3 linked regions of the Elephas maximus indicus genome follow. The protein of the gene in region 1 binds, or shares a complex with, the protein of each later gene. Links are inferred from orthologs where the notes say so. Each region holds a gene or a part of one and is shown in the gene's direction. Other genes may lie near its edges.

The links.
Region 2: the proteins of XIAP (region 1) and RIPK2 are in contact, whole or in part, in a cryo-EM structure (PDB 8AZA), measured with the Homo sapiens proteins. The link is inferred for Elephas maximus indicus from reciprocal best matches to the Homo sapiens genes XIAP and RIPK2. Residues at the interface, in NP_001158.2 of Homo sapiens: Lys208, Asn209, Trp210, Glu211, Pro212, Cys213; in NP_003812.1 of Homo sapiens: His136, Asn137, Met138, Thr139, Pro141, Ile208, Asp278, Glu279, Arg280, Ser282, Lys285.
Region 3: the proteins of XIAP (region 1) and CASP3 are in contact, whole or in part, in a crystal structure (PDB 1I3O), measured with the Homo sapiens proteins. The link is inferred for Elephas maximus indicus from reciprocal best matches to the Homo sapiens genes XIAP and CASP3. Residues at the interface, in NP_001158.2 of Homo sapiens: Ala137, Leu140, Leu141, Gly144, Gln145, Val146, Val147, Asp148, Ile149, Ser150, Asp151, Thr152, Ile153, Tyr154, Asn226, Leu231, Gly232, Arg233, Asn234; in NP_001341706.1 of Homo sapiens: Tyr204, Trp206, Arg207, Asn208, Ser209, Lys210, Asp211, Trp214, Gln217, Lys242, Thr245, Glu246, Phe247, Glu248, Ser249, Phe250, Phe252, Thr255, Phe256.

Annotation. Positions count from the first base shown.
Region 1 is NC_064846.1:32,786,476-32,794,386, reverse strand, and holds the start of XIAP (E3 ubiquitin-protein ligase XIAP), read left to right. Parts: upstream 1-4,904; 5' UTR 4,905-5,126; intron 5,127-5,387; 5' UTR 5,388-5,512; intron 5,513-5,518; exon of another isoform or gene 5,519-5,923; intron 5,924-7,911.
Region 2 is NC_064833.1:52,120,562-52,128,126, reverse strand, and holds the start of RIPK2 (receptor-interacting serine/threonine-protein kinase 2), read left to right. Parts: upstream 1-4,562; 5' UTR 4,563-5,194; coding exon 5,195-5,367; intron 5,368-7,565.
Region 3 is NC_064839.1:83,406,721-83,413,884, reverse strand, and holds the start of CASP3 (caspase-3), read left to right. Parts: upstream 1-4,161; 5' UTR 4,162-4,177; coding exon of another isoform or gene 4,178-4,230; intron 4,231-6,985; exon of another isoform or gene 6,986-7,015; 5' UTR 7,016-7,164. UniProt on the Homo sapiens protein: Thiol protease that acts as a major effector caspase involved in the execution phase of apoptosis. Following cleavage and activation by initiator caspases (CASP8, CASP9 and/or CASP10), mediates execution of apoptosis by catalyzing cleavage of many proteins.

The DNA of each region.
Region 1 (7,911 bases):
CTTAAGCTTGAAATGAGAGGCAGCCCCTCTGTCCTCACCCCAACCAAAAAACAAGTCTCCAGAAATGCATGACTGAGTTCCTGGAAGATAAAGGCAGAGAAGGGGAAGGGAGGGCTGGCTGGAGATGCTAGTTTTACACACACAAGATAAAGGTGGGCATCTTTATGACTGCTCAAAGAGAGGAAATTACAGTTGCAGTCTTTCTGTCACCAAGGAGGGAGTGAGAGGTTGGACATCAAGACACCCAGTGCAAAAGTCAGAAGCCTGAGGGACAGGTGGTCTTGGTAGATGTTGTTGGACATGAGTGAATGATCTTCACAGAGGCTGTTCTCAGGAATAATCGTATGCAGGTGTGCACCCCTTTCTGCCAGAAGAAGTTACATAAAACTGATGGCTCCAAGGGCAAGGCCTGGAAAGGGGGGCTCGCCTTACCCCCCATCTTCATTCAAAGTAGCTCTGCTGTTCATCTAATTTATTATTTGAGGTTTAACTTACTACTGCTTTTGCACAAAGGACTCTAGTACTTGAGAAAATGTTTGGAACCCATTGTTCTAAAATCTTTTCTGTTCCCCTAAGCAGATACTTTGCAGCTTTTTTTTTTCCCTCCCACATTTTACTTTTCAACTGCCATTGAGGTGTGGCTACCACCTTCAAAATTCCCTTCTACTTAATCTCCATTTCCTGTGTCCTTTAGTCTCTGAAAATGTTTCCTCCTTCCTATTCAAAGCTAATGCCTCTCCTTAGGTTTGATTCCATCTCTTTCTCATTTCCTCTCTTTATACCATTAATTTTCCTTTCACCTATTAGGTTGAATCATATGAAATTTCTGTTTGAAACATTGTCAGTTTTATAAGGTTCAAGTTTATATATCTTCATTCTTTCCCTATCTAAATGTTTCCTCTCCTCAACCAAAATGAATTACAACAAAACACACTTATACAAGTAAAAAACAATACTCTTCACAGATTGTAGCTTGCATTTTTCTGTGTATGTCCCGGCATATGAAACCTAGTCACCATGCCCCAGGTGTAACTGCCTTTGCTATAGGAACAATTGACAACTCACTCAAGAAGTATCTATCAGGAATCTGGTATGCTCATGAAATTTTTACTCACTCTTGCAGCAAATTTCTCTTGAGCACTTACTCTGTTTCAGACACTGTTCTAAGCACTTGGACTAGATCAGTGAACAGATAGATCCCCGTCCTCTTGGAGCTTATATTCTAATAAGGATGGGATGGAGGAGACAGACAATAAATAAACATAATATATAAGTAAATCATATTGTATGTTATAAAGTGATAGATGCCATGGAAAAAGATTAAAAAAATAGAGCACGGGAAGGGAGATGGGGAGCGCTGGAAGGAGGAGTTGTCATTTTAAATGCGGGGTCAGGATAGGACTTACTGAGAAGGTGTGATTTGAACAAAGACTTAAAGGTGTTGAAGGACAAGCCACAGAGAAATCTGGCTCCGGGCAGAAGTGTTTGGAGCAGAGAGAGTAGCAAACTGCAAAGGCCCTGCCTGAGGCAGGAAAGCTAAAGGAACAAGGAGATAAGGGCATAAAGGTAACAGGAATCCAGACCCCTGCAGGGCCTTTGTGATTAGTTATCTGCTGCTGTGTAACAAATTGCCCTAAAATCTAGCTACTTAAAATAACAATACACAGGAATTTAAGAGTATGGCTTAGCTGGGTGGTTCCGGCTCTGGGTCTCAAGAGACTAGTCATCTGAAGCCTGGGGCGAAAATTTCCTGTTGCAAAGTAGCTCATTCACATATTTAGCAAGTTGGTGCCTGCCATCAGTGGAGGAAACTGAGGGATGTGGGGCTCAGTCTCCTTGTGTGGGCCTCTCCATTCACTGTTTGAGTACCCTCAGGACATGACAACTGGCTTCCCCCAGAGCAAGCAATCCAAGAAAGAGTAAGGCAGAAGTCACAATGGCTTTTTATGTCTTAGTATTATAAGTCACATACCATCATTTCCACTGTATTCTATTGGCCACACTAGTCAGTCCTGGTTCAACGTAGAAGGGACCTACCCAAGGATGTGACTAGCAAGAGGTGAAAATCATTGGGGCTCATCTTGGTGACTGGCTAGCACAGGCTTTATAAAGGCCATGATAAAACTGCAGTTTTTATTTTGAGTGAAATGAGGAGTCATTGAAGGGATTCAAGCAGAGAAATGACAATGACCTGACTTATATTTTATTAGGATAACTCTGGCTACTGTGTGAAATAGACTAGAGAGGAGTAAAAGTGTAAACTGGGACATCAGTGAGGAGGCTATTATAGTCAACCAAGAAAGAGATGGACTGGGGTCATATTGGTGGAGTTGGTGAGAATTAGTGATCTTCTGGGTATATGTTATTTTGAAAATAGAGATGACAGAATTTGCTGATGGACTTGATATGGGATACAAACAAGAAAGAGGTATTAAAGATGACTCCAAGGGTTTTGGAGGAATTACAAAAATGAGGTAGACATTGATCTTGCCATGAATGAGCTTACAATATAGGAGAGATAAGGCATGTACACAAGTAACTACACTACAGGGCAGAAAGCATTGTGCTCCATAACAGGCACAAATTCAAGCGCTAGGAGACTTTAGAAGAAAAAAGAGATGATCTTTGGCTAAGGGAATCAGAGAAGGCTTGGTGTGAGGAAGTCTTTTTACCTAGGTAGAGGAAGCAGTTAGAAGGAATTAACCCTTTGGTGACCTGTGAACATAGATAATCCGATTTTTGGAAACCCTCGTGGGTAGTCTTTAAGAGTTACAGCTGCTAACCAAAAGGTTGGCAGTTTGAATCCACCAAGCATTCCTTGGAAACTCTCTGGGGCAGTTCTACTGTGTCATATAGGGTGACTGTGAGTTGGAATGGACTCACTGCAATGGTTTTTTTTTTTTTTTTTTAAAAAAAACACTTTTTATGCCTCTGCAGTTCTTTGGGTGTATGCTTTTCCTGCTGGAAGTATTTGCTGCCCTTCAGTGGGGATTGCGTAAAGGCGAAAGGTGAAAGAAAAGTTTGTTGAAGTAAAATATTTGGAGTATGAAACTTGCAAGTAGTGCAACCCAGAAGTGTGATTGCGTAAAAAGTTTGTCTCTTTTGGCTTTTGTATCCCTGCATAACCTTTGTAAGCATATTTGTGGTTTCCTATATAGTAAATTTATATATATATATATATATATATATATATATATATATGGTTGCTATGAGCTAGAGTCAACTTGAGGGCAACAGTTTTTTTTTTTTTTTTTGGGCAGGGTGTTAGTTAGGGTGGCCTGATAGGCTTGGTTTTGTTTTTTTGTGTCATATTTGGAAAACCAGAAGTTCCTGCGTGTAACCTAATGGAAGGCGCCCCATCTTATTTTCATCAACCAAAGTTCATTGGGACAAATGGTCACCCGTCAATCAGCTGGCTTGAGAACACAGCAAGTTCAGTGGTAGCCATGTAGGTCCAGATATTTTTCAAAATCCATATTACCCACCAAAAATTTAAACACACCCCATGACTCAGCATACTTCCATTAATGAAAACATATGGTATAAAAAAAAATTAAAAGCAGAAAATAATAGGATCACCAATTAACAGAAGGCAGGAAAGCTGGGGATAGGCAGGGGCACCGTGAGTAGTTCCATTTTGTTGTAACATAGGGTAGGGGTCCAAGGGGAGAGTGAACATGAAGCTAAGGAGTTCTGACATTATCCTGGAGGCGGTAGAAGTGTTAAAGGGCTTAACCCATATGGCTTTGTACAGGCTAGATTGGGGGATCCAGCCTCTGGGCAGAGAAGCCAGTTAGGAGACTTTGTAATGGTCAAACGTACATGTAATCAGACAGATTGGGGTTTGAATCGCTGCTCTAGCTCCTGCTTATACTTAAACTCTCTAAGCCTCTGTTTCCTCATCTGTTAAATGGGGATAAAAACAGTTCCATACTTCATAAGACTGTTATGAGAATTAAACAAGAAACATTTGCTCAAAATTACTATTATTACAATAAATCAGATGTGAGATTACCAGAGCTGTGACAGTGGGAGAGAATCACAAAGAATAATAACAACTTAAGCAAAAGCCTAAGATTCAAAAAGAAAATTCTTTCCTCTCCTCCCTCCAAGTTCCCTTTTCATTAGGGGCTGCATCATTTGAGGATGCAGGTGATATTTATGATCTTTCTCTTGAAATTAAACCGTCTCATTCAGAGCTTATCATCTTACACTAGCCTGTAGGAGAGCCCAAGTTCCTGAACAAAAGTTCATATGTAGGTCTGACAATCCTACAGCATATGTGAAATAAATCTGGGGTATGGTCAGTATATTATGTGCCTACACTTCCTTTGTTTCCCCTCCTGCTTTCCTTTGTCCCTATTCATTTTCCTTTGTCTCCCAATGCCTTTTGTTCTCTCTCTCTCTCCTCCTGTCATTCCTCTCATCTTTTCTCCTTGGAAAACAGTTTCTATTCTAATTGCATTTCCCTCGTTTATTAGCTGCGTGATTTCAGGATAGTTATCCTCTTTGGGCCTCAGTTCTTGGTATAAAATGGGTTTAATAAGACAGTGCCTACCTCATAAAACACAAAAATCCATTTCTATCGAGTCGATTCCGACTCAGAGCGACCCCATAAGACAGAGTAGAACTGCCCCGTAGAGTTTCCAAGGGAGCGCCTGGTGGATTTGAACTTATCGACCTTCTGGTTAGCAGCCGTAGCACTTAACCACTACGCCACTAGGGTTCCCGCCTACTCAAAATGACCGCAAATGACACGTTCTATGTCTGGCAGTGCCTGGTCTACAGTAAGAACTCAACAAGTTCGTTCCCTTCTCCCTCCTCTTTTTCATTGCTTTACGTCTCCTTCCCCTACTCCTCAACCCCACAGCCGAGCAGGTAAAAGCCGTGGGAAAAAACATCCTGGAAGCTGAGAGGAAAAACTAGAGCTAGGGGCGGGGACTGCGAGGTGCCCATCGCGCATGTGCGCCCGCTTCGGCAGGTTCTGGTTCCCACCCGGGTAGGGGGTGGGGAGAGAACAGGGTTTCATTTTCCTTGGCCGCCCCCTTCCCGCGCAGAGGAGTGGCAGGACCGTGTGGGCATCTCGGCGGGCGCGGAGCTCACCGAAGGACGCCAGGGTCCGCAAGGTAAGTTCGAAAATGGCGGAGGGGGGAAGAAGGTGGGGCTTTGCAGGGCGGGAGGCCGACCTCCCGGCGGGGGCGGGTGGACAGGAGGCTGCGGAGGCCCCGTGGCGCGGCTCGGGCTGGGAGAAGGAGGGCGCGCGCCCGGTGCCTCTGTGACGCCCCGACGTGGACGCGCTTCGGGGCCCCGACTTAGGGTTCCTCTCGGGGATGGGCCGGCTGTTGGACGCGAGTGAGGGCGACGAAGGCACTTCCGTTTCCTTCTAGGCAGGGGCCGGGCCGCAGAGCGAGTTGGCTTTTGCAGATTGGGGCTCGGGCCGCCCCTTCTCCGGGACCCACCCCGCGGGACCCCGGCTGGCGCCGCTGGCGATCCGGCACGCTCCCCAGGCACGGTGGGTACTGCCGGTGCGGGCTCCTCTCCTCCCCCTTCTGCCCTGCTCTCCTCCTCCTCTCCCTTCCCCTCCCTGGCCCTGGGGCCCGGCGCTGCGGGGGAGGGCAGGAAGGCTCCTGGCCGGGGCACCCGGGACTGGCCAAGCAAGCCTTGAGCGGGTGGCTGCCTCCAGGCCTGCCCGGCCGCCTCCCTAACCCCGTGAACCCAAAGCTCCAAGAACTTTTTTTTTCTGATCAGAGGGACACCCTCCTCCCACAGTGTGATGCCCGCGGCCTGTGTGGAGCAGGGTGGAATTTGTCTGGCAAGGTTGTGTGATACTGAAAGAATAGGGGCCAAAGAGCATCTGGAAGAGGAAATTAGCTAGTAATTTTTTCCAACCTTTGCTGCCCAAGTCACCTCCCCAGCATATTCTGTGAGTAAAACAAAATATCAATTTAACTTTCAGTTTCATTATTTTAACTCTATAATACACTTAATTGTTTGGTTTTTTTGGGGGGGGGGTAGTGATTATTGCTAAAACTAAGCAACAGTCTTCCCCACCTCCAAAAAAGGAAAACGCCAATCGAAGCTTAGTTAAAAAAAACTATCAGATTTTAATTATTTACTACTTTGCTTTCAAATATAACTATATAACTACTTCTCTCACAACTATACTTTGATAACTAAGGAGTCAGAAATTTACTCTGCTAAGGTAAAAGAATTATTGAAGGTAAAAGATTGCTATAGTGTTTCTTCTTTTTTTCTTAATAATTGTTGCGATCAGTTCAAGAGAACGCTGTTAGAGACGGCCATCTTAGAATTATAACATTTTAGAGTTGAAAGGGATCTTAGGCCAACCTTGTGATTTTACAAAAGCAGAAATTAAGGTATAGGGAGATTTCATGGCTTCCCTAAAGGTCACTCTGTTAGTTAGACTCCAGGTTGTCTGGCTCCTTGCTTACAGTTCCTTCTGTGCAACTGTTCCACATAGCCTCCAAGTACGAAAATGAAATGTGTTCAGTTCAGTGCACATACCTGAAGTGTATACTAGTTTGTGCCAGTGACTATGCGAAGCCCTAGCTCTACCGAGTACCACTTCAGCGTATTTACTATAGTTAAGAAGCCAGTGCTTGAGATTTTCCCCCCATCATTAGAAGTGGCAACAGTTAGGTTAAAAAAATGTTGGGAGACTTTTAATTTGCAGTTCACATGTGGCCTAATGTACTGTTGGAATTTCTTACCATAAACAAGTATTTTATAATTAAGAACGTTGTAAAGTTCATGTGTGCATATATGTCAATATAAATATGTATCAGTGGGGTGTGTGTATGTATAAAGTTTTATGGTTTCTTTTGTAAAATCCAGTGTGGTTCATGTCAGTCCAAGTGGCAAGGCAGGCGTGATTATTGGAGGCTCACGTTTTTCCTTTGGTTTTCTCCTGTTGCTCCTAATATAAAAACCAAACCAAACCAAACCCAGTGCCGTAAAGTGGATTCTGACTCAGTGACCCTATGGGACCGTGTAGAGCTGCCCTATAGAGTTTCCAAAGAGCGCCTGGCAGATTCCAACTGCGGACCCTTTGGTTAGCAGCTGTAGCACTTAACCACTACGCCACCAGGGTTTCCAAAATACGGTAAAAATGATTTATGTTGCTGGTCTTTATGGTATTTAGTTTTAGAAAATGTTGTAAGCTTCTTGATTGTCAGATAATGTAACAAACTATAACATTCAGAAAATCAAATTTGACACTACAGAACCTGAATTATAGAATCTTTGTGGATAAAAAAAAATTTTTTTTTTAGACTGGAAAAGTCCCAGGTGATTGGTAGTTTAGCTCTCTTGTTTTTACAAGTAGATGACTTAAGACCCAAAGAAGAAAAAAATGAATTGCCCAAGGTTATATATCTGGTTATTAACAGAGTTTCTACTGGGATCTAGGTGCTAGTCCAGTGCCCTTTGTACTACGACTGTGATTTTATTGCTTTCTGGTACGTTCGATGACTCCAACTCGGCTGACAAAGTAATGCTGACTAAAGGTTAGGCCCATTTCAACAGAGTTATTGTAATTAATGTACCAGTTAATTTGTAAAGTACTTGAAATATTTAAGTAACATAAATATTCCCCTTACATTTGGTTGTAAACATTTATTCCTTTATTAAGTCCCTTGTTTATGTTGTAAAGGCTTAGAGACCCCAAATGTGAAATAATGAGATTTTACAGTTTTCGTTTCATCTAATACTTTGCGGCACTGGGTACTGGGTTAGCTGATGCTAGTGGGGGAAGAAGAGTGATTTATAAAAAACATTTTTGAGCACCTACTGTGTACCAGGAATTGTACTATTGTAGGGCTCCAAAGATGATTAAGGCAAAATAGATGCCCTTGTTCTTTAAGGCAGGGAGATTATCATGAACTGTCAGTT
Region 2 (7,565 bases), on another chromosome or scaffold:
TTGACTATATCTGTGGAAAGAGACGATGGGAAAGCTCACTATCATCGGTCAGAACAAGGCCAGGGGCCGACTGTGGAACAGACCATCAATTGTTCATATGCAAGTTCAAGCTGAAACTGAAGAAAATCAGAGCAAGTCCACGAGAGTCAAAATATGACCTTGAGTATATCCCACCTGAATTCAGAGACTATCTCAAGAATAGATTTGACGCATTGAACACTAGTGACCGAAGACCAGACGAGTTGTGGAATGACATCAAGGACATCATCCATGAAGAAAGCAAGAGGTCACTGAAAAGACAGGAAAGAAAGAAAAGACCAAGATGGATGTCAGAGGAGAATCTGAAACTTGCTCTCGAGCGTTGAGCAGCTAAAGTAAAAGGAAGAATTGGTGAAGTGAAAGAACTGAACAGAAGATTTTAAAGGGCGTCTCGAGCAGACAAAGTATTATGACATGTGCAAAGAGCTGGAGGTGGAAAACCAAAAGGGAAGAACACGGTTGGCATTTCTCAAGCTGAAAGGACTGAAGAAAAAATTCAAGCCTCCAGTTGCTATAGTGAAGGATTCCATGGGGAAAATATTAAACGATGCAGGAAGCATCAAAAGAAGATGGAAGGAATACACGGAGTCATTATACCAAAAAGAATTAGTCGATATTCAACCATTTCAAGAGGTGGCATATGATCAGGAACCGATGGTACTGAAGGAAGGAGTCCAAGCTGCTCTGAAGGCGTTGGCGAAAAACAAGGCTCCAGGAATTGATGGAATATCAATTGAGATGTTTCAACAAACAGATGCAGCACTGGAGGTGCTCACTCACCTATGCCAAGAAATATGGAAGACAGTTTCCTGGCCAACTGACTGGAAGAGATCCATATTTATGCCTATTCCCAAGAAAGGTGATCCAACCGAATGTGGAAATTATAGAACAATATCATTAATATCACATGCAAGCAAAAGCTTGCTGAAGATCATTAAAAACAGCTGCAGCAGTGTATCGACAGGGAACTGCCAGAAATTCAGGCCGGTTTCAGAAGAGGATGTGGAACCAGGGATATCATTGCTGATATCAGATGGATCCTGGCTGAAAGCAGAGAATACCAGAAGGATGTTTACCTGTGTTTTTTTGACTATGCAAAGGCATTGAACTGTGTGGATCATAAAAAACTATGGCTAACATTGAGAAGAATGGGAAATCCAGAACACTTAATCGTGCTCATGAGGAACCTTTACATAAATCAAGAGGCATTTGTTCAGACAGAACAAGGTGATACTGATTGGTTTAAAGTCAGGAAAGGTGTTCGTCAGGGTGTATTCTTTCACCATGCCTATTCAATCTGTATGCTGAGCAAATAATCTGAGAAGCTGGACTATATGAAGAACGGGGCATCAGAATTGGAGGAAGATTCATAAACAACCTGCGTTATGCAGATGACACAGCCTTGCTTGCTGAAAGTGAAGAGAATTTGAAGCACTTACTAATGAAGATCAAAAACCACAGCCTTCAGTATGGATTGCGCCTCAACATAAAGAAAACAAAAATCTTCACAACTGGACCAATGAGCAACATCACGATAAACGGAGAAAAGACTGAATTTGTCAAGGATTTCACTTTACTTGGATCCACAATCAACAGCCATGGAAGCAGCAGTCAAGTATCAAAAGACACAGTGCGTTGGGCTAATCTGCTGCAAAGGACCTCTTCAAAATGTTGAAGAGCAAAGATGTCACCTTGAAGACTAAGGTGCACCTGACCCAAGCTATGGTATTTTCAATAGCACCATATGCATGTGAAAGCTGGACATGAATAAGGACGACCGAAGAAGAACTGACCAACGCCTTTGAATTGTGGTGTTGGCGAAGAATATTGAATATACCATGGACTGCCAAAAGAAGAAGTACAGCCAGAATGTTCCTTAGAGGCAAGGATGGCGAAACTGTGTCTTACATAACTTTGGACATGTCGTCAGGAGGGATCAGTCCCCGGAGAAGGACATCATGCTTGGCAGAATTCAGGGTCAGCGGAAAAGAGGAAGACCCTCAGTGAGGTGGACTGACACAGTGGCTGCAACAATGAGCTGAAGCATAACAACGATTTTAAGGATGGCTCAGGACCCCGCAGTGTTTCGTTCTGTTGTGCATAGGGTTGCTATGAGTCGGAACCAACTCGATGGCCCCTAACAACAACAATATATATTTATTTTATATTTAAACCTTTTAACTTTTTATTGAAGTATAATATACATTGAGCAAAGTGTACATAAATCTAACCTCAAAGAATTTTCATAAACTGAACACACTCATGTAACTGGCACCTAAAATCTAGGTTCTACATCAAGAAACAGAATATTACTAGCACCCCAGAAGCCTTATCATGTCCCCTTCTACTCACTACATCCCCCCACAAGAGTAACCACTGTCTTAATTTCTCACAGCATAGATTAATTTATTTTACACTTTATGTTAATGGACTTATCAGTACGTTCTCTTCTGTGTCTGCCTTTTTTCATACAATATTATTGTAGATTGTTCAATCTCATTGACTTTAGTGTTCTATTGTGTAAATGAAGCACAATTTATCCATTTCTTCTGTTAATGGGCTATATATAATTTGAGGCTATCATAAGTCACACTGTTATAGACATTCTAGCATATACATACATAGGCCCACATATCTATGAGAGGAATTGCTGGTTCATAGGGGCTACATATGTTCAACTTTAGCCCTACAATTTTCACCTGTTCACCACCACAGAACTGTTTAAAGAAGTGTTGTTTCCTTACTTGTATAATTTTTATTTTTCATAGAATAGTAATTGCCTTATTTTTTTCAGTTCTATGTCCAGTTTTTCAGACATATTTCATTAGATCTATCAAACACCTATTAATACAGTCTCCCAAATACTCAAAATTAGATCATCTATAAATTTAAATATTTTTCTAAAGCCTTTCCTCTTGAAGCCTTCCATCCTCCTGTCCCATTGAAAATGGGTTTCTCCCCACTCTGACACATGCCCTGGGGTTTCACTTCTCCATTCTCCTGATCCTGGTTTTCTGGAACCCATGTTTTGTTTTTTTCTTTTCTGGCTTACACCCATGTTTTGTTGGGGTACATACTTTAGTAGCTTTCTAAAACAAGGCTAATGGAAAGCAAATATTTGTACCCCTGTATATGTGCAAATGTTTATTTCACCCTTATACTTGTTAGATAGTTCAGCTGACTATAAAATTCAAGGTTGGAAGCCAATTTCCTTCATAATTTTGAAGAAATTTCACTCCATTGTTTTTTTTAGCTCACAATATTATTTAAAAAAAAAAACTCAGTGCCATCGAGTCGATTCCGACTCATAGCAACCCTATATAATTATTTAAAAAAATATATTATTACTCTTGATAAATCCAAGCCATGCTCCTTCCCATGCCTTTATTCTTGTTTCTTTCCTCTAAAAACTTTGAGTCTTCTCTTTATTCTTAATGTTTTGATCTTCTTAAGAATGTGCTTTAATGTAGGTTTTTCAGTTCACTGTGGACACCAGGTGAGTCATTTCAATATGGAGACCCTTGTCCTTCAGTCCTGGCAAAATTTCTTCAATTATTATTGTGATCATTCCCTCCCTGCTGATTTTTTTGTTCTCTTTTTCTGGAACTCTTAGTTTGTGAGATGGATGGATGGCTCAATGAGAAAGTTTTCTGAGTACTTTTAGGAGCAAAAAGTTCAACAACAAACAATAAAGCACAGCACAGCAGATCATATCTTCAAAGCTAAGCAATTTGTTTTAAATCATCAAAATTTTAAACATAACATTTCTTTACAATTTCCCGCTGTGCACAAATACAGGAAGGACTGGTTCTCTGTACGCAGAAGTCCTTTATTCAAGTCAGGCATTTCTTTTTACTGCATTACAATTCACTAAATTCCTAGTATGGACTTGGAGTTGTATATAATATTTGCACTCACGATATAATCACTTAAGTAGAAAAGTGGGACTTTTGGTTTTGTCTTTGTTTTTAAGTGGAAAAATGGAAAGATGTTTGCAGTCTTTTTCGGTTGGCATTAGACACTGCTTGCAATCCTCTTTTATCTATAAAAAAGAAATCTTTGCACTCTTATCTGGAGTTAGATGGATTTTCTCAGGTTCATTTTCAATCCCGATATATTATTATGGACATTGGAAAAGAGGAGGAAGAAAACCAGATTCCTAGTAGGCGGGCGTGTGCCCAGAGCAAAACACAGCCGAGGGTATTCCGCTCTGAGGAGATTTATCACCTTTCCCTCACTCGTCAAGTGGCTGCAAGTGAAGGAAGACTGGAGTCCAGGTTCGCAGTGGCATAGGGGTTAAGTGCTACGGCTGCTAACCAAAATGCTGGCAGTTCGAATCCACCAGGCGCTCCTTGCTATGGGGCAGCTCTACCCTGTCCTATAGGGTCACTAAGGGTCAGAATCTACTCGTCGGCCACGGGTTTGCCTGCCGTGGAACACGGCGCGCTCCGCGAAGCGCTCCTCGCGCAGGCGCAGAGTAGGGAGCCGGGATCACGCCCCTACCTCTGGAGTTTGGCTACTCTCCCGACTGCACGCGGCCGAGACAGAGAATCCACCCGAGTGGGGGCTCCCGCTGACCAATCACACACCCGCCAGCCGGCTGCGTTGAGGAACTTTCCCAAAAGGAAGACTTTTCCATATTCGGAGAGGGGTGAAGACAAAAGGAGTGCCACTGGCTGCCTCGCCCCCGCGCCCTAGCCCCGCCAGAATCGGACAGACAGTGGGGGCCGCAGGCTGAGACGAGCGCCTTCCCCGGAGGACGCAGGCGGACGCCCCCCTCTGCTAGCCCGCTGACGTCGCCTGAGAAGTTTGGAGAGGGAGGAGCTCGGCGCCGGGGTTCGCCGGCGGGGCGCGCCTGGGAGGGCCCAGTCTAGGAGAGGAAGCTCCTCCTCGCCGCGGCGCTGAAGACTTGACCCCACTTTCCAGAAAAGTGTGCTGAGGCCGGGGAAAAGCAGCCGGCAGCGCGGGGTCCGACGGCGGCGGGCGTGGGCCGCCTGGGAATGGGCGGCCTTGTGACCTAGTATTTGGGAGCAGGAACACCTCCCGTCCGCCTGGCGCCGGAGCGGACCCAAGCGCGCGCGTGCCGGGGAGCCGCGGGAGCAGAGAGCGCACCCGGAACGGGCCTTCGGCCTGAGTGCCCGCGCCGCCAGCGACCATGAACGGGGAGGCCATCTGCAGCGCCCTGCCCACCATTCCCTACCAGAAGCTCGCCGACCTGCGCTACCTGAGCCGCGGCGCCTCGGGCACCGTGTCGTCGGCCCGCCACTCGGACTGGCGTGTTCAGGTGGCCGTGAAGCATCTGCACATTCACACTCCGCTGCTCGACAGGTAGGGCGCCTAACTCGGCGGCACCCCCTCCCACGATATCCGCCCCGGGTAGGCGGACTGTAGAGCTCAAACGGCAGTGACCGCCTGGGGTCGGCCCTCCCCGTCGTCATTTCTGGGCTAGTCCTTCAAAGCTTGGGGCTGGCAGGGTGGGAGGAACCAGCCTCTCGAGGTGCACACTCGGAATCGTCCGCTCATCTCCTCTTCACTGCCTTCTCTCTGCGTCCCGCCGTTCCTCCTCTGACTTTCCTAGGCTGGTACCATATACCAGAGACCTGCCATCACAGCCCATCTCGAAATGCCCGATGTATTGAAATTGAGTTCTTTATGTAGTGGGTTTGTTTTTGTTTGCTTTTTTTTTTTTTTCTCGTTTTTTTGAAAGTGGGCTCTAGGGCTGTGCTGTCCAATAGGTAGGCAGTTGTTAGCCATAGGCAGCTGTTGAGCGACTGGTCAGTCGAACGGAAATGTGCTTTGTCAGTGTAAGATACACACCGGATTTCGAAGATTTAGTACAAAGAAACGAATTTAAACTAACTCATCAGTATTTTTATATCGATTGCGTCTTCAAATAATAATGCGGATATATTTGGTTAAATAAAAGATGTTACCAAAATTCATTTCATCTGGGGTTTTCTGTGTGTGTGTTGTTTTATTAGAGTTTTTTGTTGTTTTTTACTTTTTTTAATGTGACTTAGAAAATTTGAAATTACATTTGGGGCTGGCATAATTGGACAGCGCTGCTCTAGAGTTTTGAGATGTCTTGTTTTGGGGTTCTTGTAGTTTCTGTTTTGTTTGTGGTTCTTGTTTTCATGAAACTTTATCAACCTCAAAATTTGCAGTTAGTTTCTCCTCCTACTATTATGAGGAAGACTGTCTCTAGGAAAAAAGTGTGTATTTTTTTTTGTGGGAGCGATAAACTGTATCCAAAGAGTGTTAAGTGGCCAAAAAGTGTTTAGAGCCGTTCATCCTGGCATGATTGTAGTGTGATGTTCAGGTTTTAAGGAGCCCTGGTGATGCAGTGGTTAAGCACTTTGCTGATAACTGAAAGGTCAGTGATTTGAACCCACCACCAGCTCTGTGGGAGAAAGATGTGGCACGCTGTTTCCCTGAAGATTTACAGCCTTGGAAATCCAATGGGGCAGTTATATATATATTATAATTCATAGGGCCACTGTGAGTCTGAATCAACTCCATCGCAGTGGATTTGTTTGGACATTTGGTGGTGGTTTTGTTTTAGCATTAGTTTCTCTTTCCGAAGAGAAAAGCCTTACTGTAAACCCTTACGGTAAACGTGTGTGTATGCAGTAGTCAGTGGTCTAGTCACTAGTTCGGTATTCTATCTTTCCCAAAGGAATTTAACAAGGGCCTGCATTCAGTTCTCAGTGACCTAACATTCATGATTACAACATTATCTTATCTAATGTGAGAATACATCACGCTCGATGCCTGACTGGCCAGAGGCTGTTAGTATCCAGTATCGGATACATTCCTCAACTTTCAGCCCAGCCAACGTTATCATACTTCCACCTGCCTGTGGCTTTCTTTGCTGTCTCTCACTACCAGCGTTGGGTGGACTAGATCTCACAGCAGATTTCAGACACTTCTGGAGATTGTTCCCACCTTTTTATATACTATAGTCCACATCCAGTGATGTGCAGGGTGTGGTGTCTGTTTACACTAGGTCTTGAATTCTGTGGGGCAAGTGCTGGGCAAGTGTGTGTAGTCAACTCTAGAGGGTGGTGGCTGGTCAGAGAGGGTGGATATATTCTAGAACTAACTAGGTAGATGGTATATGGAAATCTAGCACTGATGGACCCATTAAATATTTTAAAGCAAATTGATCCTTCTTCTGTTTCGGATGCTGCTTCTCAAGATTTTAGTTTACCTGAAATTTTGTGCTGTTTGAGGGGCCAAGGAGTTAAGAAAGAGCTCCCTTTCCATGCTCATACAATTTTCGTAGTCCAAAAATTTTTACCAAGTTAGGTAGAAAATTAATTGTCTTCTAAGAAGCCATAAAGAACCTTGGTAGTGCGGTGGTTAAGGGCTTGACTACTAACTGAGAGGTGGTTGTTTCAAACCCACCTAGCAGCTTTGCAGAAGAAAGACCTGGCAATGTGCGTCCATAAAGATTACAGCCAAGAAAACTCTACGAGACAGTTCTGCTCTGTCACACGGGGTCACTATAAGTCAGAATCCACTCG
Region 3 (7,164 bases), on another chromosome or scaffold:
CCTTTGAAACAGGTATATGGAGAAAAGGGCATTAGCCAGATCAATAACAGCATACCAGGTACCGGGAGATGTATTAATTTGCTCAAGCAGTAAATTACATCCGGAACAGCAGGTGTAATTGGAGCAACCACCTAGTTAAGTTTTCAATAATCTACTGTCATTTTCCAAGATCCATCTGTTTTCTACACAGGTCAAATAGGCGAGTTGAATGCGGGTGTGGTGGGAATCATCACCCCTGCATCCTTCAAGTCCTTAATGGTGGCAGTAATCTCTGCAGTACCTCCAGGGATGCGGTATTGGTTTTCGTTTACTATTTTCCTAGGTAAGGCCAGTTCTAAGGATTTCTCTTGGCTTTTCCTACCATAATAGCCCTTACTCTATTTGTCAGGGATCCAATATGGGGGTTCTGCCAGTTGCTGAGTATATCTATTTAAATTATGCATTCTGGAACTGGGGAAATCACTACAGCATGAGTTTGGGGACCCACTGGACCTACTGTGAGATGGACGTAAGCTAAGACTCCATTAATAACCTGACCTCCATATGCCCCTACTCTGGTGGGCCACAGTGAAGTTTTGGGTCTCCTGGAATTAGTGTCAGTTAAGAGCCAGTGTCCAGTAATCCCTGAAAAGTCTGATTATTTCCCTTTCCTCAATGAACAGTTGGAAACCCTGGTGGCGTAGTGGGTAAGTGCTACGGCTGCTAAACAAGAGGTCGACAGTTCAAACCCACCAGGTGCTCCTTGGAAACTCTATGGGGCAGTTGTACTCTGTCCTATAGGGTCGCTGTGAGTCAGAATCGACTCGGCGGCAACAGGTTTGGTTTTTGGTTTAATGAACAGTCACTCATAAAAGGCCGTAGATCCCTTTGGGGAAAGCTGGGAGAAAAATTAACAGTAAAAGTTTTTAGCAGTGTATTGGAGTCATTCCTCAAGGGGACACAGCCTCTCCTTCATTCAAGGGGTTGTGGGTCTTTAGACTCACTCAAAGCTGGGAACTAACTAGTGACTCTCTATTCTGCCCATTCAAGTTACACTGCTATTCATCTAAACTAGAATTCATCTGTTTGTACAGATCAAGTAAATATTTCATAGTCTTCCGATCTGTTTCACTCCTAGGAACACCTTGACTAAGTAGCCAATGCTGTAAGTCCATAAAAGGCAGATTTTCTGATTACTGCTTTGACTCTGCAGTCCACTACTGTGACCACACCCACCTTGTCTTTGTCGATTGAGTGCAGCCACTTGGCCCCTACTATCACAGGGTCCAGTGAGCTTCATTTTAGTGTCTTAATTCAGTTAGGGTAGTTCCCACTGTCAAATCTGATTTACTTAAGATAGCAATCACAGCAGTCTTCAAGGATCCCGGAGCTCCCTTCACAAATTTGTTCCTCACAGTTGTGGTAAAAGGTGTGTCCTCTGGTACTCCATGTGTGAGTCTGTGGGTCTAACCTAATAAATCCACTCCAGCATACCAATTTCCCTAAGCCTTTGGATACCTTCTTCTACAGTATACCAATGTAGATCCAGTACTTCAACTTGATTTAGTGTAAGCCACCTCGTAATCCATGCTTCAGGGACCCAAACAAATAAACCATTAGATCCTTTCCTAACTTCTTGAGCTGAAACATGGAATAAAGGATCTGTGCTTAGTGGACCCATATCAATAAACTCAGACTGATCCATCTCGATCTTCATTGCGCCATTATCCCAAACCCTTTATAGCCATTCCCACACATTCCCCAGGTGTTTTTTGGTACATATTAGAAAAGTCAAGCAGGTCTTTTGGAATGTAGCATACCTCCTCCTGAGTCATACTTTGTACTTCACCTTTTGGGACTGGCTGGGACTTAAGTCTAGTTACAGGTCTAGAAGCCAGAATCCATAGTGTGAAATTGTTTTGAGAACATTCAGCATTGTCTTGTAAAGCATCTGCCTCAGTCAATGCCCCAGGCAGTGACTCAGGCAAGGGCTCTTTAGAGGCAGCTGGGCTAGGGCTAATCTCATTAGATAGGAGTGGAGGAGGTAATGGTTTTTCTGGGCAGAGTGGTTTAGCAGAGAAACATGAAGTAATCTCTTCAGCTGGGATTGGTTCTGCTGGCAGGAATGATTTAATGGAATATAGGGGCTGTGTCTCCAGCTTCCTGATTATCTGCCCATACGTCCCCATCCCAAGTTTCAGGATCCCATTTCTTCCCAATGCCCTTACTTTAACTTCAGACTCCTCTCAAGGTTGACAGTTGAGCTGGGCTTGTAATTCAGTCACTCTTACAGTAAGACTCTGAGTTTGGTTTCCAGAAATTTCAGCTCTGTTACTACAAGAAATAAGGCTTTTTTTTTTTCAAATCACAAGTGGAAGGATTGAGGTCATATATGTGGCACTTGAGCTTTAACTCTGAAGCCCTGAGCACATCTCTTTAACCAGTTTGTCTACCTACCAACCTACCAGCTTTCTTATACTTTTCATTCTAACAAAATTTAGAAAGATATCACGTGTGTTCATCCAGAGCCTTGCCTTTCACCAATACCTGATCTACTGGTGGTGATATTTTGCATAATTGTATTGCCACCTCACGCCATGAATTAGCAGTGCCCTCTTTATTGCTGGAAGTAGAGTCATCAACATCTTTAAGACTAACCAGACTTGAGAACCAATTTAGGAAACTCATCCTTACAATTCTGTTTCTCTAGAACCACTCTGTGTGCCAAATGTCTGAGGCTAGGTTCTCTAAGGAAGCAGAACTAGTAAAATATATAAATATATACATAGAGATTTATATCAAGGAAATGGCTTACACGAATGTAGAGGCTTGAACATCCCAAGTCTGTGGATCAGGATAGAGGCTTCTCTTGATTCACGTAGCCACAGGGGCTGGAGAACCCACGATCAGCAGGTCTGAGAACAGTGCTCTTGCTCACAGGCTGTGAAGATCGATGAATCTGAAAATCTGCAGATAAGCTAATAGCTCAAGTCCCAAGAGCCGGAGGTCAGACGAACAGGAGACAGCCGTAGGATCCAGAGTGAGCAAAAAAGCTAAAACGTCTGGTTATATTCGGATGTAGGCCACATCCCCAGGGAAAATCCCTTTCAACCGATGGAGTACTTACAGCAGATTCAATCATGAAGGTGATCACCCATAAACAGCCAAGTTAACACATAATCTTAACCATCACAATTGCCTAGAAAGTTCCTTTGCTTCTGGATAGCTTAGAGGAGACAAAGTAGAACTCTAGAAGACAAGTAGTAAGGACCAAGCTTCTTAAGAAGCAGTAGAGCAGAGTGGCAGGGAAAGCCTTGGATCTCCATCACGTAGCTCTGTGTCATAGAAAAAGTTACTCAGTAGGGGTTGCGTTTCCTGACTTTTAGGATTGTTCCAAAAATTAAAGATGCTTAACACAGTACCTATGAGTTGGAATCGACTTGATGACAACAGGTTTGGTTTTGTTTTTTTTTTTGGTTAACACAGTACCTAGTATGTAATAAGTGCTCGGTAAGTAGTAGCTGCTTACAAGGACTTGTTCACTGTGTGAGGTGAAAGAATGAAAGAAGAAACTTTAGCTTATACTTCCAGGTTTCGTAAACCAATTCACCACCCTAAATGAGAAGTTGGGATGCCAAAGCCCAGTTTAAGAATAAAAATTCTGTGGTAGGTTGGAATTTCCTGGTACTGTACCTCTTGGGAATTTAAGCATCGTATACTAGTGTTATGTGAGTTATACCATTTTGGTGCCAAGTTCTTTGTTTTTTCTTTTAGCAAGGTGAAAATAGTATAAAGTCTTCTTATTGACTGAAGGGCTGCGTTCTTAAAATGGCCTGATCTGTTGAAACAGAAATAAGCTGCAATCTATATCTTAATGTGGGAGGGGGCATACAAATGTAAAAATTTATCCAGGTGCACATTTATTTGTGCACTTTGTGTACTTCACTGTTAATATCTTGGTTAAAGGGAAGAAAGGAAGGAAGTAGAAAGGACATTGCTCAGCTCACAGAAACCTTTAGCAATAAAGGTGAAGCTTGGGTTAGGGTGGTAATGCTGATACAAAAATGTTCATATAAAGTACTAACATGCAGAAATAATCATTCGGATAATGAATATAGTGCAGTGGTTTTAGTGGTTTTATAATGGCTGATTTTGATTGACTTCTATTTTCTTTATATTCTAGTTAATAAAAGTATCCATGGAGAACACTGAAAACTCGGTGGATTCGAAATCCATTAAAAATTTGGAAACGTGAGTATTTAAATGGAACCCTGTATAATCAGAGAAAAATCGGTATGTTTAAATGGCAAACTGAGGAGTGGGGAAGCAGAGCGTATATGAGCTTTCTAGCCAGAGAGACCAAGTTGACTTCTTCCCTCAGACAGCTGTGTGACTTTACACAGTTAACCTCTCTGAATCTCATCCTTATAACTTTCGTGGAATTGTGAAGAGGATTAAGGGAGGCATCTAAAGATCAAGCACGGTGTCAGTCCCATAGTCAGAAACCCAGTCCTGGAACTGAAAGAATGCACCAGGAAAAACCAAACCCACAAGTTTAGTTGGTTCTGTACCTTCCCAGATTGCTCTGCTGAAGGATTATAGGTTTTGTGTTTGTGGGAAGTTTTTTGGCCTCCTGTTAATGTATAACTTTTAAGACTAAAATGAAACGGCAGCTCTCACTGCCTGTTGTCAGATGCCATCGAGTTGGTTTCAACTCAGAGCAACCCTATGCACAACCGAATGAAACACTGCCTGGTCCTGTGCCGTCCTCACACAATTGTTGCTATGCTTTGGCCCATGGTTGTAGCCACTGTGTCAGTCCATCTCGTTGAAGGCCTTCCTCTTTTTCGCTGACGCTCTGCTTTACCAAGCATGATGTCCTTCTCCAAGGACTGATCCCTCCTGACAACATGTCCAAAGTATGTGAGATGCAGTCTTGCCTTCCTTGCTTCTAAGGAGCATTCTGGTTGTACTTCTAAGACAGATTTTTTTGTTCTTTTGGCAGTCCACAGTATATTCAATATTCTTTGCCAACACCACAATTCAAAGGCGTCAGTTCTTCTTCAGTCTTTCTTATTCATTGTCTAGCTTTCACATTCATATGATGCTACTGAAAACACCATGGCTTGAGTCAGGTGCTCCTTGCTATTCAACACTTTAAAGAGGTATTTTGCAGCCGATTTGCCCAGTTCAATGTGTCTTTTGATTTCTTCGCTGCTACTTCTATGGGTGTTGATTGCGGATCCAAGTAAAATGAAATCCTTGACAACCTCGGTGTTCTCTCCATTTATCATGATGTTTCTCCGTTTATCATGATGTCCTTCTTCCTAGGCTGTCTTAGTCTGGAAGCTCAGCTGAAAGCTGTCCACCATGGGTGACCCTGCTGGTATTTGAATAACAATGTCATAGCTTCCAACATCACAGCAACACACAAGCCCCCACAGTACAATAAACTGACAGATGAAGTGTGGGGGTCTCAGTGCCTAGTTATGAATTATCTTTTACCCTTTGTTTTTCTCTGGTCTTTCTTTTTGGAATATTGTAATTATAAATGCTTCTAGTAACTATCAAGTTCAGGAGGGGAAAAAGTTAAAACTCAAATATTCTTAATTTAATTCATATCTATTATTATCGATTAGAATTTCTTGTGATACTTTTAATTCTAATAATTTCTTTCAGGGACTCAATATCCTCTGGGTTAACCCAAGAATTACAAATTAATTTTAGTACTAAACAATATTATTACAGCAATATTGTTAACAAGTTGTCAATAAAGATTTAAAACCAAAAAAACCAAACCCATTGCCATCAAGTTGATTCTGACTCACAGCGACCCTATGGGACAGAGTAGGACTGCCCCCATTGAGTTTCCAAGGAGCGCCTGGTGGGTTCGAACTGCCGACCATTTGGTTAGCAGCTGTAGCACTTAACCACTATGCCACCAGGGTTTCCAATAAAGATTTTTCAGTGTTTAATTACCTTTAGGGAACTGGGTTATAGGTAAAGGAATTATCCTAGAAATTGAGCCTTTGAAATGTAATTCCATTTAAAATATAATTCCATTAAAGTAGTTTTTGAAACCTTTGTAAAGTGATTTACACATTTTCCTTCCTACTTTTCATTATCATATAGAACATCACTTAAATAGCAAATTACTCGGGAGCCCAAAACAGGTTTAGGACCATTATGGTCCTATGATTAGTTACCTTCACATTTGCAAGCATTTTGGGTCTCTGTTCTTCATCAGGATCAGGTGTGTCCACTCTCAGTCTAGCTATCACACATTGCCGCCTGTCTCTTTAGGAGGGAAATGGGGCTTATAATTCTGTGACTCATTATCTAGGGGTCTCTGGGTGGTGCAAATGTTTTGTACTAGACTACTAACCAAAAGGTTGGTGGTACAGATTCACCCAGTGGTGCCATGGAAGAAGGACTGTGTGATTTAGTTTTATAAAGAAAGATTGCAGTCATTGAAAACCCTGTGGAGCACAACTTTACTCTGAAACGTGGGGTCACCATGAGTCAGAACTGACTTGATGGCAATGGGTTTGCATTTTTTTTTTGTTGTTTTTTGACCTCTCATTTCCTGATTCTTGGTCTAGATCAGGGTCAGGCTTGTGGTTTGCTTTTGTCAGGTTTTATGGACACAGCCACACTCATTCGTTTACATATTGTTCAGGGCTGTTTTCACCAGCAGAGTTAAGTAGCTGCAACAGAGACTCTATGGCCTATAAATCTAAAATACCATCTTGCCCTTTAAGAAAAAATTTGCAGATCTGTGGTTTTTGGATAAATGATCTCCAAACAAGTATTTTCAATTGTTTATAATAGTGCTTTTATGTATTAATAAATTATTAGTTTGTTCAGCTCATAGAGTTTAAGGAACAATTTATGAATTTTGATAAATATTGTGCTTTGAGTCATATTTGCATGTTTTTGGTTTCCTATAATTTGGGGGTAATTTTCAAGATATTGCTCTTAACTTGGAGGATAAAATACTTCACAGAATTAAAGTATAAAACCTATTCGAGGGCAGAGCAAACATGGCGCTATAGACAGAAGCACCACACTGTCCCTCCATCGCAAAGACCTAAAAAACTAAAACAGAGAAAACATCAATCCTGGAACCTTAAGCATCAAATGAAGAGATAATGCAACGTAGCATCAAATGGAATAAGAAAGTGA